Caenorhabditis elegans: one gene and its partner. The protein of the gene in region 1 interacts with the protein of each later gene in a pairwise test. Each region holds a gene or a part of one and is shown in the gene's direction. Other genes may lie near its edges.

Region 1 (8,792 bases):
AGTTAGCCGACTTGCCGAAACTTTTCAGTTCCGGCAATTTCCCGGTTTACCGTTTTACCAGAAGCTTTCAATTCCGGCAATTTGGCGTTTTTTGCCTGAAAATCTCGTTCCACTGACACCGATACTTACAGAGATGATGGAGCGAATGATCCGAAACCAGTTGCGGCGCGGTTTCTATCAAGTGGTGGTATTATCATAACTGTTGCCTATTCGCAAAGCCATGACACACAACTTTTGGAAAAACTCGGAGGAATCGCAACGAAAGAGTTTAATTTTACAAATGACGATCCGGGGTTGATCGAAAAAATTCAAGACTCTTTGTTGAAAGGTGAGGAGGACATTTTGTCAGGCTTAAGTTTGATCTACAAAAAATGCGGGAATATTTTTCTATAAAAATTGTGACGTCAGCACGTTCTTAACCATTCAAATTCAGTTGATAACTTTTGTCTTTTTCAGCAAACTGTTTCTGTCCGAACAGCTGGCACCAATACCAGCCAAAAGGTACCTGCATTCAACCAGTCACTTTGCCAGCTTCATGGAGCATTGCTCAAGCATCATGCCATCATAAGGGAAACAATGGTCACTTGGTCAATGAGTACAGCAGAGAAAAACACGATTTTGTGATGGCGATTTTGAAGACTTATAAGGAATTCCAACCTACTTATAAATATCATATCGGGCTCAATGGAAACTGCTCACTTTGGAAATGGGATCAGGCTAGCGGAGAAGAACAAGTGCAACTACAGGGATGGCAAATTTGGGCTCCGGATTTTCCGAGGTGCTCACCTATGCTCGAGATGCTCGAGGGGGTGACCTATGTAACGGATGGATGGATCAATGTTCCATCAAATTTCTATGCGAATTATGTCTGTGAAACATCAACTTGTGACACTGATAACTATTGCGCAAGGGCTAATGATTTTTTGTTGAATCGAGTTTAATAAAGGACTTATAAAAAGGATGGAAAATTGTGTTTATTTCAAGAAATTTTCAGACAAAAAACTCCGAGCATCTAGAGCCGTCTAGCAGCACGTCTTCTGTATCCGGATTGCTCAGCCTGTGGCTGGTCACCCTCTCCGTATCCGACGGTTCTTGGTGGGCATGGGCAGTAAGCAGCGTCTGGTCCTGGTGCTCCTTCACCTCCGGCCTCTCCAGCGGCTCCATCTGGTCCGGTCTCTCCGTCTTTTCCTGGTGCTCCGTCTTGTCCTGCAGCCCCGGCTGGTCCTTCTGGTCCCTGTGGTCCTGGAGCTCCCTGTCCGCGTTGTCCATTCTTTCCATCGGATCCCGGGGCTCCGGCTTCACCTGCGGCACCGTCGTTTCCAGCTGGTCCGTCTTCTCCTGGGGCTCCAGCCTCTCCGTCTGGTCCAGCTGGCCCTGGGGCTCCTGCTGGGCACTTGATGCAGTCGTGTTGGGCATAGGCGTCAATTGGGGATGGGATTCCGTCGTGACTGTTGTCTCCGGCCTTTCCTGGAGCTCCGTCGTCTCCTGGCTGATCTGGCGATCTTACATGGAAAAATATTTGGTAAAAATCAGATCATAGGTACTCTCAGCAGTGTTGTCCAAAATCGGAACACGGTAGGAGGATCAGTGCACCACAACTCGGCTGGGACATAATTTGTATAATTATATTGGCACAACTGTAAGTTTATGTATGCTGAATTCAGAAAATCTAGGTACATATAACCCATCAAAAACTATTGAAAAGTGGCAAAAATTGACAATTTTTTGTAAAAATTCACAATTTTGAAACTCCTCTAAAATGGTAAATTTTGTAGTTAGACGACTCAAAAATACAAAATTTACTCAAAAACATTTAAAACATTGCCCTTTTTTAGAATATAGTAGTTTTAAACATTATTTGGGAGATTTTCCGAATGAGAAGCTAATTTCGGAAAAATTCGGAAATTTATAAAGCCGCTTTTCATTCGAAATTTATTTTTATTTTTAAAAAAGTTTGGGAATTCTCAAAAACCAACTGTCCACCCGTTCCATTTAACAACCCAATTCTCAAATGTCCCCTCTAAAATTTTGATAGTAGAGCTCGCGGAGCACATCAGCAAAAGTAGCAGCTCCCAGGAAATGTCCGAATCATCATCAAATGCCGTTGGGGTATGTCCAAGAGGATGGTGCATTGTAACAATTGACTGACGACGGCAGCTGACGGATTGAGGGGTCCCCTCGTGCACACACGGGAATGCTCCGGGAGCACACACACACACTTTTCCATTACTATTTCCTACGAGAGTGTGGTAGACGTGCCGTTATTATTTTTTTGTGTTTTTGAGGTTAAAAATTGCTTCCAAGTCTGTTAAAAATATATTTGATGGCCTAGTTTTTGTTTTCTAGGCAGCCGAACTTGAATTTAAAAGCTTGACATTTTTGGTATGGTGGCTTAGAATTTCGAAAATTCAAGTTGCTTTCTTTTAACTTAAAATTAAAACATTTTTTGCGAATTTGAATTAGATGGCCTAGGATTTTCTGGAATGTTTAATTGAAAGATTTGGTTAGGCCACACAATTTCAGTTGCTGGCCTAGTTTTGATGTTCTAGGCCACCAATTTTTCTTTCAACTTTTCCGATGAATTTCACACACGTTCCAAACTTTCAGTAGTCACACTCATATTTTGCCTCATCTTTTTCATGGCCTAACTTTTCGATTTCGTGGCCTAGAACTTTGTCCATGAAAAAGTTTAGGCCACATGCTTTTTTTAAAAATATATCCCTTTTTATTGAAATGATTTTAAAAAAGTTTTTGTTAGACCCAAGATGATTGAGCCAAATTAGAGAAATTTGAAGTTGGTGGCCTAGAAAATTTCTAGACTATCAACTTCACAAGGCTCTAACTTGGCTGAAAATTATCATTTTCAGTTTTTTCAAGCCATATTTTTTGTTGAATTTTTGTATTTTCCTTCAAAATTTTTATTTTGAAAAAATCAATAATTAGAGATATCAAATGCATATTCCGATTGTTTCGCACAAATCTCATAGTCATTTGCACAACGAAAAGGAATTTGCGCAAATTCCGTCAAATCATGCTCCAAATTGTGCTCTTTTTCTGCTCCAAAACTGTGATCCATCCAATCGGATAAAATGCTTCTGTCCGACCCGTCGTTCGCACAATGCGTCCAAATTGTCTTCGCAGAACTGGCTTCGGTGGCCTAGAAATTCAAATTTTCTTGTGTTGCTGGCCTAGGATTGGTTCTCTAGGCCACTAAAATCAGCTTGATTTTTTTTTAAATGTTGATGTGTCACGTTAAATTTAACATGAATAGAGCTTCACCCATTTTGGTTTTTTTTTCGTTGGTGGCCTATGTTTTTCTAGGCCACCAACTTTAAATTTTAAATCAATATATTGTCAAATTAAAGGGTTTACTCACAATTAGCTCTTCACAAAAATCTACTTGAAAAACTCGAATTGGTCGCCTAGAAAACTAAAACTAGGCCACCAATATTTCGTTTTTAAATTTTTCTTCAAATTTTCTAAATTTTTTGAAATTAGAAAAACTAAAATAGAAAAACTTACACTTTTGTCACTGTTACTCATTTTTAGCAATATTTTTTTCTTTGAATTCTTTGAATTTTTTTTTAGAAATAAAAAATTTTCCAGAAAATTTCGTTCTTTTTTCGTAACTTTTATTTTTTGGAAAACTTCTAGAATAACCCCACGTTTTTTAAAAATAATTTTATATTCTACAACTTAATTTTTTTTTCTAATAAAAATCCCAATTTCAGATGCCAATTGGTGTATAGAATAGGCGAAAACGAACGAAAAAGTGCAACAACACCATGTTATTCTCGGGCGCCTCGACTGCGAAACCGAAAAAAGACGAGAAAAAGGACAAGAAAAGTGATCGCGGTGAGTTTTTTGAAAAATTTTTAAGACAAAAAAAAAAAGAAAAATCCCCGAAAAATGGCATAGAAATTTACCTTTTTTGATTTTCCAGGCCACCAACATAGTTTTCAGCATACATTTATTTTATATTTGTTTCTGTCTTACCGAGACCTTCAATTTGACAGCCATCATGCCTAGGATCCGACTATTTTGAGTTGGTGGCCTAACTTTTCAAGCCGTGACCGAGAAAATGCATTTGGGCCTGGACTTTAGACGCTCAGATTTTTGAAATGTTCTTAGTTTTTATTCCTTGTTAGGAGTATTCAAAAATTCAAAAATTGAATTTCAAATAGGTTCTGGGAGTTTTAAGTTGTTGGTGGCCGAGGAATTTCTAGGCGACCAATTTTAAATTTTGCCAGTAAGATAAAATTTGTAGAATTTTAAAGTGAAACAGTAATATTGTGTGCTTCTTAAAATTTAATTTCATAAAATTTAGCAATTTCTAAAAAAGTAAAAATTCTAGGCCACCAACTGAAAAGTTAGGCCATGGAATAAAATTTCCAAAGTATGGCAATATTGGTGTCATGTGAAAGCTATGAACGTGCAGAAGTCAGTGAAAAGCATTGTAATAATGAAAAATTATTTTTGTGGCCTAGAAAAAGCAAACCTAGGCCAGCGAGTCAAATTGGGTGGCCTGAATTTGGATTTCTAGGCCACTAGTTAACAAATGCCATTTTTCTAGCAAACTTCTTGAAGAGAACTAACTGTTGCCACCAATACTCTGTTGAACATATTTTATGCTGATCTAGAAATTTTGCTGGCCTAGAAATCTAAAACTAGGCCACCAAACTGTAAATCTGCTCAAAATTCATATTTTTCGATTTTTCAAAAACCGATTTGTAGAGTTTTTGACGGAAAATTTGAATTTGAACGTTAAAAGCTATGAATAAAATTTTCAGACCCAAAAAATGAGCTCCAAGAGTGGGTATTCGTGCGCTGGGCCAATCACCTGCTCGGAACAGAACGTCTAACCGATTACAAAAGCCTTCAAGATGGTTCAAACGCGATTTTTGTCTACCAAGCAATTATTGGACAGACTATGGCTGTACTGGGTAATCCATCCGACGATTGGCCTAATGTTTTGCAAAATATCGGGGATTCCAAGACGAATCCGCAGGAAGTTATGGAAGGGCAGCAGAAAGCGGTGCTCTCAGCCTGGTGGCAGCTTGTTCAGTTTTTCTGGAAAAATAATGCACCCGTGCAGTTACGGGAGGAAAAGGTGAGTTTTTTGAGTGTAAAATCAAGTGGAAATCTTTAAAATTGATAAAGTTACGGGGGTTTGAAAAATTAAAAAATAAATAAAAAATTTTGAAAAAAAAAATTTCGAAAATTTTTTTTAAAATTTTTTTCCTAGAATTTTTTCTATTAAATTTTCAAATTTCAGCTCTCCGAAGCCATCAAACAATGGTGCATTGAAGTCATGAAATCATACGAAGAAATTGACGTCTACGACTTTACATCTTCCTTCCGGGACGGCCATGCCTTCAATTACCTCATACATTCTTATGAGTAAGGGTTTTTCATTAGAAATTAATTTATTGATAATCAGTTTTTCAAGAGTTTCTAGATTCCATGAAACATGGTTTTATTCGAAAAAAAATTCAAAAATTTCAAAAAAAAAACACATTTTTTTGGATTTTTTCAATTCTAAATTTTCCAAAACAACTTTTAATCTTATTTTTTTTTAATTCAATATCAAATTTAAATTCAACATTTCATTACAGTCTATTTGACACCCATAATGCCTAGGCTCCGAAATGTTCAAGCTGGTGGCCTAACTTTTCACTACATGGCCTAGAAAACTCACTGGGACTTCAAATTTGGAAAACATAGGCCCTGGAATTTAATATTTTAAAGTATAGCAATATGGGTGTCATTTGAAAGGTTTCGGCGTGTAGAACTCGAGAACCCCATCAAAAAGAATTTTAGAGAGGGTCTCGCCGCGAAAACTACAGTACCCATGTGATTTTCGTGGCGGGATTCAACTTTTTCCAAAACTAATCATGATTATACTCAAATGAAAGCTCTCAGTGCGACAAACACAGTTAATATAGTTTCGAGCCCGAAATCCTGAACATTTTCAGCCGAAAACTGATAAACCTCACAAAAACCGCCGAAATGAGTGCCATCGACAGGATTGAAAACGCTTTTGCTGTCGCTGAAAAGACATGGAATGTGCCAAGGCTTCTGAATCCAAAAGGTTACTATTTCTAACCAAAAAAAAAATCGAATTCTACGCTGAAAAACCACGAAAAAACTGTTTTGGGCAAAGTGGCTTAGTGGAGAATAGGTGCACAGCTACGGAAAAACATACCAGGGTTCGACCCCCCGCTGCGGTCAAAATTTTTGTTTCTCAATTTTGAAAGTTTTTGAAAATTTTTGAAATCATTCACTTTTTATTTTATTTGAAAATGAAGATTTTGAGCCGAGTTACAGCAGTTTTACGCCTAGGCACAAGATTGACTACCTGACTGCCTAGTAGGTTTTAAAAAACTGATAGGCAAGCGTGTAGGCAGGCAGGCAGTGATGAAGACTTTCCTTCCTACAAGAACTGTCAACACTGAATTATCTATTTTCCAGTAATTCACTTGAGTTAGAGCTTCAATGCGGTAAGTCAAAATGGGTTATAAGTAGGCGCGAAGGCAAGTAGGTAGGTATTACGGGACAATGAGATCATGAGAATGCCTACTTTTCTGGCGGCAAATATCTCGTAGCGAAGGGACCGGCGTCTCTCTTCGCCATATGCTCTCTCGCTGCCGCGGCCTGTCAATATTTTCGCGCCAGTAAATAGGCATTCATCTCATGGTCCCGTAATAGGTAGGTAGGCACAAGATAGGTACATAGGTAGGCATTCAAAAAAGTAGATAGGCACAAAGTAGACACATAGGTAGGCAGGCAACAAAGGGTAAAAAGCCTACCTACACTGATGTTTTCCGCGTAATTTGGTTTTAAGTATATAGGTAACAAGACGAGAGATCACAGATAAAAGAGACGCAGACAGATTGCGTAACCGCCCGATCAGGGAGAACCATATATCCCTTTTGTCCCCCTTTCTGTCTTTTTCTCTGCCACCCTCTCTCACTTTCCAATAATCTCTCGCCTGGGGGGTCTCTGTGTATCTCTAATTAAGATGTCCCCGTGTACCTGTAGAACACGGAGAATAGGAAGACAAACTAATCATTATATAGACTATCCGTTTTTCTACGACATACTACTACTACTACTTTTGATACTTTTTTTTCAAATTTTGAAGAATTTTGAGTATTTTGTAAAAATATTGAGTTCAAACCAGCAATGTAAAAATTAAAGATGAATAAAATTTTTGCTCACATTTCAAAATTCCCTAATTTTGGCAGTTTTTAGGATATTATGCTGGTTTTTAGCTTAAAATGAGCACAACAGCTTATATTACAATTTCTCATAAATTAGAATGTTTGAAATGTTACAGCTTTTTGGAAAATATAAAGTTATAAGTTAAAAAGGTTAAAAATTCAAAAAAAAATTCAAAATTTAAATTTTCGGAAAAGTAAAGTTTATTCAATTTTTTAGATATTACAATTTTTTTTTTTTTATCGTGTTCAGAATTTTCGAAAAACAATTTTTTACTCTAGATGTCTAGATTTAAAAAATTCTAGTTTTTAACTTCAATTTAGCACAAAAACCACTGAAAATTACGAAATAGTCTTTGTTTGTACATTCATTTACTTTTATTGTAAATTTTGTTTAAACAAACTGCAAACAATTTGAAGTTCTAGACAAATTAGAGTTTTGAAAAAAAATTTCGAAAAAAAAATTTCGTTTATAAATTTTCAATTTTTTCAAACTGCCATATTTCAGTCAATTTTTAAGATTTTTCTCTCATTTTTACCTTAAATTAATCGAAATTTCTTCTACTTTTCCTTATTTTATGCCTGTCAAAACACCAGACCTCTCCACTCAATTGTTTCCCTGATCTTTACTGTCAATAAACGATGTGTGTCCACTCATAAAGTGGTGCGAAATACAGAAATTCCTTTTTTTTTCGTTCTTCTTTCGCAGAATTTTCTTAACCATTCTATCCTTTTTTTGTATTCTTGAATACATTTTTCTGTTATCTTTTTATCACTATCATGGGAGATTTATCAGGAGACAAAATGACGAGAATACCGCGTCGAAACCGGAAATTTTGTTCACCCGATTTTTGCCACTTTTTGTCGCTTTTTTGCAAATTTTTGTCCCGCGTAAAAATTCCGGAAATGATGTAAATCTTATGGAAACAGATTCTGCAAAATTATGCTATCTTTTTTTTTGCAAAAAAAACCCATAATTGACTTTTTTAACCCCCATGGCCTAACTTTTTCATCTCATGGCCTAGGTTTTGCATGCTCGGCCATGTGATATAAATTTGTGAAGATAGGAGAATAATACCTTTCATTTGAGTCTAATCATGACTGAGGGTTTCTTAAAATTTAAATTTTTACGACGACTACAGTAACCACAAGGTTTAAAGGCTCACATCAATTTCACAATTAGGAAACTTTTTCGAAAATCTATATAATTTGGAAAGAAAGGAAGGTTTTCAGGATATCTACTAATTTTCAGCTCAAAATATGAATTTTCAATTAACTTAGAGCCCGGTGAATTTGGTGGCCCAGAAATCCAAAGTTAGGCCACCATTTCAAATTGCTGTAATTTAGCAGATTACCACCGATAAAAACTTATGCGAACTTTGGCCTATTTTTCCGTGTTTGTCTCTGTTAGCCACTAAGCCTTGGGTCGGCGGCCTAACTTTGGTTTTCTAGGCCACCAACTTCAATTGGCTGTAACTCGGCGGGAAATCTATATTTTTGAGTGAAATCAAATCCAGTCGATATAAAACTGTATTTTTTTACAAATAGTTAGCTTTTTTGTGTACTTTTTGA
Region 2 (8,663 bases), on another chromosome or scaffold:
TCGTCTATTTTTCGAGGAGTTTTTATACGTTTACGGAAGTAGTAAAATTAATTCAATGTACTTTTGTTACAATATTCCACTATTTTAATGCGTTCCTTCATGCAATCGCGAAGGTGTCTGGAAATTAAAATTGCATGTCTTACTACTAAGTAATAGACAAAATAAATATAATTAGTCACCTTCCTACATTCAGATTATACCATTGCATCTAGAAAGTTCTCATTCAAGACACTCTCAAACGATCCACAATCCTATAAAGTTTGTGTATTCGGAGATTTGGGATATTGGCATGGAAACTCAACTGAAAGCATCATCAAGCACGGCCTTGCTGGTGACTTTGATTTTATTGTTCATCTTGGTGATATTGCATATGATCTGCACACAAATAATGGGCAAGTCGGAGACAGTTACTTGAATGTATTTGAGCCACTTATTTCAAAGGTGTGTTTCTTAATCGATTGTGAATTAATGCATACATTTTAATCTGAAAGTTTCCAGGTTCCTTATATGGTAATTGCTGGAAATCACGAAGACGATTATCAAAACTTTACTAACTATCAAAAACGATTCTCAGTTCCGGACAATGGTCACAACGATAACCAGTTCTATAGTTTTGATCTTGGACCAGTACATTGGGTTGGTGTGAGTACTGAAACCTATGGATACTATTATGAATATGGAATGGATCCCGTAATGACACAATATGATTGGTTGAAAAGGGATTTGACTGTAAGTTATATGGAATTATTTTTGGAGTAAAGAAAATTATCAATTTGAAATCATTATCAATTTTATTTTTAAAATTATCAATTTTAATATCATCAGGCAGATGAGAAGTGTCAGTGTATTTCAAATACTATAATTTTCAATTTTCCCAGACAGCAAATTCAAATCGTGCAGCGCATCCATGGATCTTTACCTTCCAACATCGACCATTCTACTGTAGTAATGTGAACTCCGCTGAATGTCAATCGTTTGAAAATCGATTGGTGTGATGGAGTAAATTGTTTAATTTGGCTAATATGTCTGGTATTTAGGTTCGTACCGGTTGGCTGGATATGCCAGGATTAGAACCACTCTTTTTACAAACTTCCGTTGATTTTGGCTTCTGGGGGCATGAGCACTCGTATGAAAGATTCTACCCAGTTGCAGATAGAGCTTATTGGAATGATGTAAGTTTAACCAAAATTCAAAAACTTGATTATTAAAATTTATAGCCAAATGCTTACATTAACCCAAAAGCTCCAGTTTATTTGATTAGTGGATCAGCAGGTTGTCATACTCCAGATGCACTTTTCACTGATAAACCATGGCCATGGAGTGCTGCAAGAAATAATGATTATGGATGGTCTATTGTGACAGTTGCAAATAGAACACATATTAGAGTTGAACAAATTTCAATTGATAAAAATGAGCAGACTGTTGATGACTTTTGGGTTATTAAAGATGAAGGCCATATGCATTCTGGTGAGATGAGGTTAGTAGAGTTGGCTTTGAAAAAAGTTCCAAAAATTACTGTTTGTAGAAGAGCAAATCCAGGAGCAAAGTTTCCACTTCAAAAATGCCATTTCAAGGATGTCGCCTGTAAACGATCATTGAAGGAAATTAACGAAGAACTTTAAATTTTGTAAATAAATTAAAAATAAGAGCTTGTATAAAATATCTCTATTCATTTTTATGATTTTCGAAAAAAAAATAAAAGGCAGAGTAGAGTTTGTGGGAAATATGTAGCAAAAAATAAAAATAAACTTTATCAAAAATTTCAAGTTGTCAAATGCCAGTATATTTGAAACTTAAATTTTCGTTGCCGAGGTTATTCAGGTCCAGCAAAGTTTGGTATTTTGGGAGGTTCCCGAATGCGGCAAATTTGATTGGCCGTGGTGATGGCGTCAGTGTTCAAAATAGAAATTTCATATTTGTATGTGGTTTCCTAGATTTCTTCTTTTTGATTGCATGCATTGACGTATTTGTGAGAGCAGTTCCGTGGGAGTTTCTAGACAATAATATCAAGCTGTTGAATTGAATTTTGCAAATATGATATACATTAAAAATTTGAAACTTGCACACTCCAGACTGAACAGATTAAAATTAATGATGTGAGTTTCAGGTACAATAGGTATTTTCTATTTAAGAAATTATGAAACCGTACGCGGTAATACAACATATGAGTCAGAATAACTTCCATAGAGGGCGCGTCATTAACAATTTTGATTTTTTCTTCTTTTTCCAGATTTATACTCTAATTTTTCAAATACTTACGTCATCATAACTTTAATTTGATATATAAATACAATGCGTTGTATGTATATAGTCAGAAATATACATTTTGTGAACATATAACTAGAGAAAGATAGAATGGAATACAAGTGTAGAATATGGACTATACTTCAGATATTTTTTTTAACTTATAGATTTTGTTTAATTTACAGTTTTTGTCCAAAAATGACAATTTCCTCTTTTGATTGCATTTAGATATAATTTGCAGGGATCTAAACAAATTGGATCAAATAATATAAAAGTTTGATCAACAATTCTGACTAATCTAAACGTCTAGTTGGAAAGCTTCATTGGAAATATTTGGCAGATGTTTTAGACTTTTCAGGTTGGCACCGTTTATTTACAGGTGCCAATAAAAAGTGGCGTTTTCATGTTCTAATCTACGATATACGATATACGATACTCGTTTTGATTTGAATTATTAAAAAAATTCATATCAAGCATCAAAATTTAACAAGTTCCTTCGGGAGGATTAACCATCTCGTCTCAAATTTTTCATATACTGACTCACAGAAATTAATCTTGTAAAATCTAACCCAACTGCTTGTGAATTAATCTAATCTCTAAAGATACCTTCTGAATTCGTCAACCTTTTTCCTCCAATTTCTTCCATTGAGACGACGACATCTAATCTCGTTTTCTTTCTCACGAGCCACATTGATTTATGTGATAGAGTGAGCCCACTGGGGTGCTATGCTTTTTCACTTTTTTCTTTTCAGCTCACACTCCGTTCTACGTCTCTCATGTCAATTTTCAAACCATATCATTAAATATTTATTGACTTTATAAAACATGTCATTTGCTTATAGAAACATTTTATTCTAAAGTGTGATTGGAATGAAAATTTGAAGCAGTGACTGCAAAATATGTATCTTCGCAAAGGAGAACTACCGTATACAGATAATCCCTTACAAAATTTTGTATTTAAATATGGGCGGAATGGAAGAACTATATACCCGATATTTTAGATTTTAGATTTTTAAACTCAAATCTCTGCAATTAATACTAACTGAACGAATTCTGATATTGCTTATGATATTGCTTAAATACACATATGTATTTGAGCACAGATTTTAGCAGTACGTTCAACAATGGTGTTCAAAAATAACTCAATTGTATGGTATCTTTCTGAAGCTTAGTAAAAATAATTTCAAACTGAGATCAGCTGTCAGTGAAGCTGAATTCGTCATTAATTTCTAGGTTTGTTGGCCACTTGGCTTGAATTTAAATTTTAATTATAATAGGAATTCAATTAAGAAGCGATAATTGGTGGTTTGCAGCAGGGGTGTGCGGCAAATTTGCCGAATTTGCCGAATTTGCCGTTTGCCGAGCTCGGCAAATTTGCCGAATTTGCCGTGCTCGGCAAATATTGAAAAAAGAGATTTGCCGAATTTGCCGAGCTCCGCAAATTTTGAGATTTGCCGCACACCCCTGGTTTGCAGTTAAAGCAAATTTATACAACTAGACAAACTCAGAAAACTTGCACGCGTTCATAATCATAACCAAACTTGGGGAAGTTTTTTTTGTCCAAGAATAAACATGAAAGGAGGGAAACTGTACTTGTCGCGTTATTGAAAAAATTTGTAACTTTTACAAATATTTTTGATAAACTAAGTTTGAAAAAGACTAAAAAATATTCACTTTTAAGACATTAGTATTCTTGCAGTCATTCATGTATGAAATGACATGGAAAAATATTTCGTGGTTTGATTTTTCATACGTATGTTGACTAAGTTTGGATTGTATGTAATCTTGAAACGAATAATATTTTCTGATCCAACCGATCTCTTTTTACACACTTCCCAATTCAACTAAAGTTTCTGAAAAAACCAAAAGCGGTAGTGGTTTTTATTTCCTCAAAGTACGTGGATTTCATCCAATCGACCAGGTATTATATTCCTTGGCTTACTGACTGACTCTCTTTCTTTTATTTTTCTGCTCTTTTCCATTTGTATGAAAAATATATCCGCGACGATGAAAGGAAGGAAATCGGGTGGAATTGCGTTCCTATTCATCTTTTTTCAGGCACTTCTTCGTTTTTCTTTTTCATCAGAATTCGTTTTTTTTTTGTTAAAAAAAAATAAATTATTGTAATAGAATGAATGCCAATTTTCAGCTTTATCAGTTTAGGAAATGTGGTGAGCAATTGCAATGGGTTGCAACTTTTCTTCTCAAAGTAAGGTAAGCTTTTTGGATTTTAGTAATTTAACTTTTTTTGTTTTTTTTTGTTGTTGTCAAAACTTAATTGGTTCAGGTGTCTGATGTTCCGGCTGCTTGTGACAAACCAATACCGGAACCTGATGTGATAGGAAAAGAAGAGAACATTGAGCCAATTGAGCATTCAGCGGAAAAAGAAGTTGTTGAAAAAAAGGAATCTACACCTGTTCCACCACCATCTATTTCTCCACAAGTTGCGGTATGTATTTTGAAGCAATTATAGGAGGCCACCGTTATTATAATCAATTTTTTGAGATCACCTCAATTCAATTCATGTCTATTTTCAGCTCCAAGTTCCCGAAATTCGTGCATCTCGTTCAATTACTCCCGCTTCTCAGAAATCGGAAGATCCATACAGCCATATTAGACTACTTCTTCTCGGTAAATTTGTATTCATTTTCAATTCCATTTTAATCCAATTCTATTCATTTCAGGATCCGCAGAAAGCGGAAAAACAACCGTTTTGGAGCAAGTCCGGTTGCTCTATAAACAACATTTCACAGAGTCTGAATATTTTCATCGACGTGCATTCATCTATCACAATATTTTCAAAAGTATCAAAGCGTTATGTCGTGCCATGAGAATGTCCGATATTCAATTTGCAGACCCAATCAATATGGTATTATTATTTTAAAAAGAATTTGGAATTAAATTTATATTCAGTATTATTCTACTTTGACAGATCATATCTCAGTTGGATTTTGTTTTAACAAAAAATTGTGAACTGACATAATACCTGAAAAATATTTTTCTACATTTTCACAGTAATTTTTTTGTGGATAAGACTTAAAACAACCAAGATATGAGCCGTTAAAGTAAAACAAAGGAGGGCGCAAATATAATAGGAAAAATACGGTACATCGAAGCTTTTTTTTTCGTAAATTGGTAAATAAGTTGGTCTTCGTGACCGTTTATCAATTTCTAAAAATGAGGGAACTTGAACTATAATATTGAAACCTAAAAGAAATTACGAAAAACTCATCTATATATTTGCAGGGTCGTGCTCAATCCATAATAGCTGATGAACATGGTCATTATGGTTTATTCTCAAAAGATTTGGCTGAAAAGATAAAACACATTTGGAATGACAAATCTATGCAAAAACTTTACGCTCGACGGAGTCAATTTAATTTGAATGATTCAGCATCTTAGTGAGTTGCATTTCCCTGTCTTTCGAATTCAGAACATTTATGATCATAAGAGCAAAATTTTGCGCTTTTCACAAGTGCAAGAATAATTTCCAGACTTTTTGAAACTAATCCTTTTCATCCAGAAGATTACCATTTTTAATTGCAGTTTTCTTAACAATATCGATAAGATAAATATGGTGGATTATAAGCCGTCTGAAAGAGATCTCATCATGGCTTATGTTCCAACTTGTGGTGTTCAAAATGTCATATTTACTGCTTGTAATCAATCTTTTCAGTGAGTCACATTTTCCTTTGAGGAATTGAAGCGGAAATCAAAAAAAAAGTTACAGATTATTTGATATTGGTGGACAGAAAATTGATAGACGGAAGTGGGCTTTACAATATGAAGGGATTGATGCAATATTCTTTTGCATCGCAATTTCTGAATATGATCAAGTGATGAGCGAGGATATGGTTACGGTAATTTCAAACTTCGTAAGAGGAATCTATAAATTATTAATTTTAGAATCGATTAGATGACGCTCTGAATTTGTTGCAATCAATCAGTGAAGACCCAGCGTTTGCAACAACTCCAATCTATTTGTTTTTGAATGAAATTGATGTTTTCTGTGAAAAACTCAGCGTCATTCCATTATCAAAGTATAAACCGGATTTTAAAGGTAAGGATATTACGGAGAGTCTCATATAAAATTGGTGTTGAAATCAAGTTAAATTATTTATATAAGTGCCTTACCTTCTGTTTCAGGTGGTGATCAAGATGATGCAATAGACTTTATGGAAAATCTTGCATGCGAAGCTCTTGGTAAACGTGACAGGTCCCTATACCGTGTCTATCGATGTATTGCAATTGACACACAAATGATGGCCGAATTGTTATCAACTGTGTTTAAAGATATTGCAAAAAGAAAGAAATAACTACTGTTTGTATAATATTTAATTTATATTTTTAATTGAAATCCAATCAATTCATCACATGTAATTTTATTTAATTCCCACACTTGTCAACACTTATGTTGTCACCCAATAAACGAAAGGAAAACGTTGCAAAAAAGTGAAAGAGAAAGATTTATTCTTTGGTTTTTCACAGTGTTTCTTGAAAAAAGAAAGACGATTGATTAGATATGCTAATAACATACCGGTCTAAATCTTAATATCTCTCTGCGCCTTTTAATTATACACACTTTGTAAATGCCGATGGTATCTTCTTTAACATTAAGTTTATTTAAGTGAAAATTATTTTTGCTAAAAAGAAATCAGCAGTTCCTAGTATTGCGAATAATGATATCATTAACTTCTATTGTCATTCTTTTTTTCACTGAAGCTGTAGTGCCAGTAGAAAAGAAACCAAGAAGAATGAATGCTGCTGCTGCTTCACCAAAACTATCTACTTGTCAGGTATGAAAAATCCAATAATGTGTAACATTGAAAAAATAGAAATATTAGAACTCATAACAAGAACATTTCTTCAAAACTTTTAAAAAACTTCACAGAATCCTGTTTTATCAGTTAAATTGTAGCTCAGGTGTAATGCGAATTAGTTGTTTGAAAATTATGAAAAATACTTTTTGGAAAATTTAGCTAGCTCTTTGTATTGAAGGACAAAACAGTTTCGGAAAAAAAGTCATTTTTGGAACTGTACATCTTGGATACATAATTTCAAAAAATAATTTCAGTGGGTTTTCGGTAATGGAACCATTGCCTCAATGCCAAAAAAATGGACTCCAGTCTATGCTCTTTCTTCACAATCTTCAACCTCATCATCTAGTCAAACATCATCATAAATCTTTTCCCTTTTACCAAATTATCTCCAGATGTGTTCTACCACATTTTTTCCCGTCCTCCATTTATTTTCATTTTTCAACTTTCCTTTCTTTTCTCATTGCCAGCTGCTTCTCTGTTTCTTCATCACGAACATGTTTTTGTCACTTATCACTTATCACCCTGTCTGATTATCAATCAAGGCTCTAAAGTCTCTTTAAATTGCTCAATATCTTGTGGTCTGATGCTGAGTTTCATTTTTTAGCGACCTCGGTTTTGGATCCAATTGTTTTCAAAATAAATTTTTTTCACACCTAAACCCAGCTTTTGTTTTTATTAAAAATAGTTTCAAAAAGAAAAACATAAAGTTATTATACAGAGAAAAATCTTGAGAATGTTGTATTTCGAGGATGCACTTTGGATTCGCGAAAATTTCTGGAAAGACGCAATTGGAACTTTATATTTTGCACTTGGTAAGATTTAGTTCTAATCTTCTTCTAGTAATAATTTAAATTATTTCAGGATTTAGTGGTATTGCCTTTCACCTTATAATAATATCGATACTACCTGAAATCTCTAATTTTATTTCACATCCTGCTGTTCTGATATTATCATCTCAATTTACTGCTTCTCTTATACAATTATTTGTAGTTTTTGTGCCAGTTCCAGCAATGATAGGTTAGTTTTGCATCCTAAAATGTTCAACTCTGTTAAACTTTCTAGCGGTGAACCAGCCATACTTTGTCAACCCAGTTATGATAAATGTTCCTGCTTTTCTACTTATTTTATCACAATGTTTTGCTTTTGTTTTGGTGATAATTATTGGATTCTACCGTAGTCTGAGAATTGTTTCGAGCAAAGCTGGGTAAGAGAAAACAAAGGTTTTGCAATGACTGAAATTTTGTTCCAGAAAATTAATATTCCCGGACAAGGTTATTTATGTGATTATCATTGGTGTATTTTGCTTCTCATTTTTCTTCACAGTAAATATATGTGCACATACCACGTAAGTTAATTCAAGAAATTTCAAAGTTTAAGATATGTTCATTAAAGATGGAGAGCATCTACTTTTGATATTTTATTTTGCGCCTTTTTATATTCAGCGCTTTTTTGTTCATTGGGCAATTTTTGAGAAAAATTCAAAAAGTCTCACTGCGTAGTATTTTGGGGTCATTCGTGGTTTTTATGGATTTTTGTCATCAAAATGTTATAGCACTCATTAAATTGTGTGATTGAGAAATTTTTTTTTTTTCTAAATGT

What was found.
Region 2: the proteins of dys-1 (region 1) and gpa-13 interact in a two-hybrid assay, tested with the Caenorhabditis elegans proteins (one large-scale study listed by BioGRID).

The regions. Positions count from the first base shown.
Region 1 is NC_003279.8:11,552,786-11,561,577, reverse strand, and holds the start of dys-1 (Dystrophin-1), read left to right. Parts: upstream 1-3,726; 5' UTR 3,727-3,785; coding exon 3,786-3,855; intron 3,856-4,790; coding exon 4,791-5,110; intron 5,111-5,275; coding exon 5,276-5,400; intron 5,401-5,975; coding exon 5,976-6,091; intron 6,092-8,792. Other genes in the region: clec-101 (VWFA domain-containing protein), read left to right, coding at 132-328, 457-941; F15D3.9 (SAM-dependent methyltransferase), read right to left, coding at 2,933-3,157, 3,523-3,543. UniProt on the Caenorhabditis elegans protein: Plays a role in cholinergic transmission and as a functional partner of dystrobrevin (dyb-1), necessary for muscle maintenance. Required for neuronal positioning. May play a role in the localization of slo-1 near dense bodies in the muscle.
Region 2 is NC_003283.11:12,750,659-12,759,321, reverse strand, and holds gpa-13 (Guanine nucleotide-binding protein alpha-13 subunit), read left to right. Parts: upstream 1-4,382; 5' UTR 4,383-4,428; coding exon 4,429-4,458; intron 4,459-4,531; coding exon 4,532-4,693; intron 4,694-4,781; coding exon 4,782-4,875; intron 4,876-4,928; coding exon 4,929-5,113; intron 5,114-5,490; coding exon 5,491-5,645; intron 5,646-5,790; coding exon 5,791-5,919; intron 5,920-5,974; coding exon 5,975-6,104; intron 6,105-6,150; coding exon 6,151-6,304; intron 6,305-6,390; coding exon 6,391-6,560; 3' UTR 6,561-6,719; downstream 6,720-8,663. Other genes in the region: papl-1 (Purple acid phosphatase), read left to right, coding at 194-441, 499-729, 879-989, 1,038-1,172, 1,218-1,477, 1,526-1,622; C15C8.8 (uncharacterized protein), read left to right, coding at 6,924-7,040, 7,319-7,426; C15C8.6 (Serpentine Receptor, class Z), read left to right, coding at 7,798-7,876, 7,926-8,081, 8,127-8,268, 8,314-8,409. UniProt on the Caenorhabditis elegans protein: Guanine nucleotide-binding proteins (G proteins) are involved as modulators or transducers in various transmembrane signaling systems.